Danio rerio: one gene and its partner. The protein of the gene in region 1 binds, or shares a complex with, the protein of each later gene. Links are inferred from orthologs where the notes say so. Each region holds a gene or a part of one and is shown in the gene's direction. Other genes may lie near its edges.

Region 1 (3,498 bases):
AACAACCAGTGAGTGACTAAATTAGCTGCTTGTGATATGTTGTGACCGTTTTGTTTGGCGTGTCACCTCTGAACTCTCCTGCTGATTCTCTTCATCGTCGGACAGGTCGAGTCTGACCTCTCCAGATGGGGCTGCTGCTGCTGCTGGGTTTGAGCTGGAGATGCTGAGGGTTGAGGCTCCAGGATTTGAGGACAGGAGATCTTCGGCTTCTTCAAACTCTGAACATGTGAAAAACAACAGACACAACTTAAAACAGATTAAAACAGAGACACCTGAACAGTAAGGTACATAACGTTACAGATGAACACAATCCTTACCTTGAAACTTTAAATCATCTGGACTAGCCATGACTGGAGATCATACGAATTCACTCTTCAAGGGAAAAACGACTGTAAATTACAAATAATTTAATCACACGACAGCTGTTACCACTGAAATCTGAACAGATTTAGACTTGACTCACTCACCTGGCTGATAATCCAGCAGTGTGTTTCCTGATGCTGCTATTATTCAGCTTGTGTCGAGCTAGCAAATACAAAAACAATCGTTTTGTCAGCTCGGCTGGTGTTTTGTAACACCCTTTGGCTAAGTGGGATCAATAATATCTGCAAACGATTCGATTACAGATAGAAATCATTTGATGCAGTTTTAATACACAAGGATTTAGCGTTATCGTCCCCATATTCCACGTCACCTGCAGGGTTCCGCTGCGTCAAAACACAATCACGTGACCGGAACAAAGCCGGAACTAAAATGTGTGTTGGCTACCTGAATGGGAATTGAAAACAACCTGAGCATAATATGATAAAATTACTATAAACTATTATTACTAGCTATAAAACATGGAATTGTGTTTTTCTTCTTAATGTGATTGAAATTATGCAAACTATTGTATTGTTTAATTAAACATACTTTATCTTTTCTATTCAGTGTTGTAGCGTTAGTATACTGTTATTAATGTGTATGTCTTAGTCCGTATGGACCTTCGATTGACATCTGTTATAACTGACAAAACGGGGCAAAATTTTGTTTGGTGGAATGGGGCAAGGAACTTTGTGTTTCCTCTCCGGAACAATAACATTTCACGTACCGTGTACTCGCCATTTTGGCTCAACAGTTTCACCATGCAGCACTATTACGTTTATCAAGATTTGGAAACTCTCGGCTGAAACCTCTTCCTGTGCACATTCACCGTGAACTCTGAACTTTCACACTTACTCGAGTTCATTTGCTAACATGGCCGCCTCGTGGCTGCTGAAGAGATGGTGCTCCACGGCAGCTAACGTTACAGTGACAGCCAAGGGCACACGGTGGGAAAGGCTAAGAAACGGTCGCGCAGGTAAGACTAAATGCTTATCATTTTCCCCATTTCTGGAATGAGTATTAAAGATAAGATTGATATTACCCTTAGCTACCCAGATACGCTAGTCCAGTGTAAGTTTCTTGTATTTATCTGATTTCTGGGTAATGTATACATGTTAACATTTACCTGCATAACCGCAGCAGCAACTTATGCAATAACTTTATTATAATTCATTCAGATTTACAGTATAGCATTAAGAATGTATTTCAGTTTGTAGTATTCCTAATTAAAATATAGCTCCATCCCTTAAAAAATGCAGAAGATACTTTGAAAAATGTTGCAATTGGAAGCCATTGATATTCTTAGATGGGGAAAATACCATAATAGTCAATCACAACTGTGTTTTCAGCATTATTCTAAATATCTAAAGAGACTAAGTAGGTTTAAAGAAAAAAAAACTGACTATATAAAGACGTAATTAAAATATCTGAGTGAACGTACTGTTTTAATTGTAATAAATGACTTTATATAAACTGAATTTTAGATTCGATTAAACTTTTAAACTATTGTCATTACACATGTACAAGTACAATGCAACGAAACGCAGTTTAGGTCTAGCCAGCAGTGAATGGTTTGTCTAAACTCTGTTAATCTCTCGGCTGTTTTCAGGTGTATGGTTCCGCAGTCTTTTAACTGACTATAAGGAGGCTTGTCGTGAGGCGGTGGTAGGGGCCCGTGATCGACCCCTCAAAGCTTCAGTCTACCTGGGTGTTCTGGGAGGAATGTACGCTTGCTGTTACACCAACCCTGATGATTCCTCCTTTGAGACCAGCCTGCTGGAAACCTCCAACCGCCTAGCTCTCCTGTCGCCATGGATACGCAGTGGCACCTCAGATGGACACATCCAGACCCTTGTGAAGCTGCGAAACGAGGGCAGGCTGCGCTATGCCAGTCTGGGCATCGCCTCTTTGACTTATTACGCAGACTACGATGCTGAGTCTAGCCTGTATGAAGCGCGATGCTCTGCCATCTCTGTGCCCTGGTCCGAGCTGCATAAGCGTGTGCTGGACGTGGGCTTTGCGGGACGCTGGTGGGTGCTTGATCATAAAATGAAGGACTTTGATATAAACGAGGAGGAGTTCAAACATCTTCCTCCCGCTCTGGTGGCAACAGTCCCACCATCACCACAAATAACTGAAAGAAACGAAAAGCTGCATGAGGACTCATGGAAAGCTGTTGTGATGGATGAGGAGAGCAGTGAGTTAGAGGGTGTACAGAAAGACATGGACACAGCTGATAAAGGAAAAGAAAGCATCAAAGCATAAATGTATTGATGGACGTGGTAAAATTAATGCTGTTTTTCATACAAGAAGGATCAACTGTTAACAAGGAATGTAGTAGGAGACATTCTTGTACTACTAAAGACGAGGAATGATGATTAGAATGTGTTTATGCAAGTAAAGAAACATTTTACCACTAAAGATATGCAGAAAAGTGTGACTTGCTGCCTACAAGTACATTAAAACAGCTGCAGTATATGCTGACATTGTGTTATGTGAATGGATTATTAGTACTACATCAGCTCAGCAAAAATATGAATGTCTTTTAAGTTGATTAATTCTCCGTCAGTGAAGGAAAACTCACACAATATTTAGGCAAAGGTATAATGTTGTGTGTATTTGTTTTGTTCAGAATTCTATTTAAAAAATTTTCCTAAAATATTGTTATTTAAAGGTTTTATTATTTTTTTTAAAATGGCATTTTCAGAAAACAAAGGGTAAACAAATGTGAAAAGTTGCTTTCTTAATTTTAAGCTGTGTTGTCTAAATTAGGCCGTACTCACACTAGGTACAGTTGCCTCGAACCGGGCCAAAGCACGCTTGTCCCCCCTCTTGTCTCCCCCGACGGCCTGCACTCACACTACAATCGGGCCTGGGCACACTTACGTCATCGATGCTGCGCTGTTCAGTGAGAAGCGCTGTCACTCAGCAGCACAGTGGAGATTTCTCTAGTTATATAGTTTCAGTCGTTTGTTATGCGTTGACATGCAGTCAAATATTTCGCCAAACAGTCCTTAGGGATGCGGTGACACGCAGTCAGATATTTCGCCGTACAGATCTGCCACTTTTGGCGCTCATAAACAATCACAAAGCTTTCATGCTGCAGGAATGAGGAGGTCTGCTGAAGGCGCGCAG
Region 2 (3,294 bases), on another chromosome or scaffold:
TACACAAAAAAGAATTTCTACCTGATTCACTCTTGAATCTGTATGGGTAAAAATCCCTGCTGCATGCTCTTGTAGAATGACTGTGCACCTGGCTGACTAAAACAGAATAATTAAGAAAATATTTTGGGACTGTTTTTTTTAAAGTCCTAAAAACTTTCTCAACTTTTAAAAAATGACTTTGACTATAATGTTCCTTATTTAAATGTGTCAGTGGAGGAACTTTCATAATAATTCTACACAACTTATTTTGGGCTGTCTGCAATTTATTTTTCATTATTTTAGAACTATTGCTGTACCAAAAAGCTGCTAATGATTGATAATTTTCCTATAGATCATGGATTATCTAATACAAATATAAATGTAATCTAATAATATAAATATCTTTTTTTGTACTTAGAATAGCACACATTTGTAATATATTAGTAAATGTAAAATAGACATCATTCAATTTTTGTCTTGATGATAGCTGTTCAAAATAAGATATTCACTAGTGTGTCACTTCATAATCCCAGTACATATTCAAACCTGTTTCACACTGTTTATGTTTTATATCACGTACTAATCAGCATAAATGATATATCAGTTTAGACTGTATAAAATAGTACACAATGTTTGAATATTTCACTAAAGTTAAAACATTAAATGCACCACTCATAGAAGCATCTTTTGCTGCACATTCAGTTTAATGTGGATTATTGTCTCCACCTAGTGGTTCTGTATTTGAACACTTTCTGATCATCTATTCATTTCACTCGTTATGATGTGTTTAACGGTCATCGCCATCTTAAATCCTTGAAAGTTTTTAATATTTTGATTTTTAAAAAACATCATGAACCTTTTCCAGCCTTTTCTTAGCTGTTCAGGCTGGAAAATGACCAGATTGACAAGCATGGTTTAAGCTGGACATTGCAGGTTTTGGCTGGTCAAGCTGGTTTTAGTTGGTCATCTCCCAGCATGACCAGCCAACCAGCCTAGGTTGATTTAAGCATTTTGTTTCAGCAGGGATATGTATTTATGTATGTATTAAATAATCTTTGCATCAAATTACAAAAAATGAATTACCGCTTGTGTGAGGCATTTGTAATGGAGCGTCTATGGACGGGACAGTACATTTGACGGGACGTTGTTCTCTTTACTGTCTGTCATTATCAGTCTGACACTATTTCTTTTTCTGAAAGTCTTGATTACACCATTGTGGAGATTCATTTTATTATTTCAGCAAATAAGATTGTAAAAATATTTGTTGTATATGGAGTCAATCTAGAGCCATATATACATGCAAAATAAAAGAAAGTTTTGCAAACAAAAACAAAGTCTTGAGCAAAAATAAATAAATAAATGCAAATCGCAAGCGAATTTTTTTTTTTTTTTAAAAAGTAAAAATATTCTGATAAAAATAAAGAATTGCAAAGGGAAAATGAAGTTTTAAGAAATAAAAATGAAATTTGCAAACAAAAAAGAACTGCAAATACAAGTTAAGCAGTGCAAAAAAACGGAAATATTTGCTATAAAAAACTACAATATATTTGCAAAACATCTTTGATAGCATAGCCTTTACAAAACCCGTCCAGTCAATTGCAATGTTCATTTCGATTAGCTTTTTAGTCAACCGTGAGTCTACGATGCTGTTTTTATTTTGCACTTTACATTTCTGCACGTTTCACTTTGTGGCCCTAATTTGACAAAGGGCAGAGGCTGGAGCTACTTGGCTGTAAGACCACCTCGGTGATACTGTGTCTCTAGCTGATGACGTCGCTTAAATGGAGGCAGGTCTGGGCCTGCCATAAACTTCCAGGTTCCCTTGACTCTGCTCCCCTTTTTTTCACAAAGTGAAATATTTTTTTAACTGCTTGATTTATTTGCAGTTTTTTTTTTTTTTGCAAAATTCATATTTATTTCTTAAAACTTATTTCCCCCGTTTGGGGGATTTTCGTTTATTTATTTTTGCTCAAAAAAACGTTCTTTTATTTTGCATGTATATATGGCTCTAGATTGGCTCCCATTCACTGCGCTCCAAGTTTACCCAACCATGACGACTTCCACTACTGAGAAACCCAGAAATGTGAAAAGTGTCCATTGTAGAGATTTTTCAAAGGCCATTTTATTTCTCTCTCTGAAAAATGCTTTTATTTTTTACCAGCATCGTGGGAAGTCTGACTGGAAGAATGCAGTATACAGTGGCTGTATTACAGGAGGTGCCATCGGATTCAGAGGCAAGTCTTTTTTGATTATATTTTATTTTTTTTAAACATCCCACATTTAAATATCATCTCATTTTTATTATCATAAGTTGGACTATTTCAATGAGCTGTGCTTCTCTTCTCTAGCCGGCCTTAAAGCTGGAGTTCTGGGCTGTGGAGGCTTTGCTGCCTTCTCTGCTGCCATTGAATATTACCTCCGATGAAGATCAGCTTTAGGACTGTTGGCTTGTACAGTTGTGAGCTGCTCACTGTATAATGGAAGACAATGTCCAGCCTTTCTTTCTTCCACCAATCAGGAGCTGTTCCTCCTGAAGAGATTCAGTTGCCTCAGTGGACCAATGAGCAGAAGTTTTATGCAGGGTTTGGAATATCTTGACCTTTCTGTCTCAGATCATCTGATGGCACTACTACAAAAACATCTAGGACAATATTTGTACCTGTAAATGTTAAACAGGATGATGCCCGAGCAAAAAATAAATGATAATAATTAAATGTACAGTGTTATACTTTGTCTGTGATAGAAATAAAGAATGATATAAAGTACTTGTTGTGGCGAAATTCGTATTTGAACAAGCAAGAAGTGTGTTGGCATTGTCTCAGTAATGTAATAATGAACATAAAACAGGCTCACAGATTTTCGTTTCAAAGCAAGCAGCTTTCTGTTCGTCAAAGTAGTGATGGCAGATTTGCAAAACATAAACATTGTTTCAAATCAGTGGTTTTTGGAGCATGTATCAAACAAGGCCAAGGTCACATGATTTCATAAAACTGGGCTTGGTTATGTCACAACTGGTTCAAAACATTTCAAGCTTGGTAATTCTTCATTCTTGGCCGATGAACCCATGAATGGGTTTATTGTAAGCAAGAACTTTTTAAAAACGTTCCTAGTTTTTACTTGATCTTGGGTCAGTTTTATAATTTTAATGACACATTTGTGTAATTTAAAGTAATAATAGCAATTAAATTGCAGTATGTCTGTAATTACCCATCTGTTATTTTACGGTAAATGTCTGTAATTTGCCATCTGTTATTTTACAGTAAATGTCTGTAATTTAATGGCCGTTATTTTACAGTAAATGTCTGTAATTTAATG

The links. Proteins that work in one complex are often made in the same cells at the same time.
Region 2: timm29 (region 1) and timm22 share a complex: the UniProt entries of both Homo sapiens proteins name them as parts of the TIM22 complex. The link is inferred for Danio rerio from reciprocal best matches to the Homo sapiens genes TIMM29 and TIMM22.

What each region holds. Positions count from the first base shown.
Region 1 is NC_133178.1:33,033,287-33,036,784, forward strand, and holds timm29 (mitochondrial import inner membrane translocase subunit Tim29), read left to right. Parts: upstream 1-1,226; 5' UTR 1,227-1,236; coding exon 1,237-1,339; intron 1,340-1,972; coding exon 1,973-2,628; 3' UTR 2,629-2,847; downstream 2,848-3,498. Other genes in the region: protein YIPF2, read right to left, coding at 67-218, 318-348. UniProt on the Homo sapiens protein: Component of the TIM22 complex, a complex that mediates the import and insertion of multi-pass transmembrane proteins into the mitochondrial inner membrane.
Region 2 is NC_133180.1:68,924,517-68,927,810, forward strand, and holds the end of timm22 (mitochondrial import inner membrane translocase subunit Tim22), read left to right. Parts: intron 1-2,140; coding exon 2,141-2,213; intron 2,214-2,327; coding exon 2,328-2,404; 3' UTR 2,405-2,741; downstream 2,742-3,294. UniProt on the Homo sapiens protein: Essential core component of the TIM22 complex, a complex that mediates the import and insertion of multi-pass transmembrane proteins into the mitochondrial inner membrane. In the TIM22 complex, it constitutes the voltage-activated and signal-gated channel.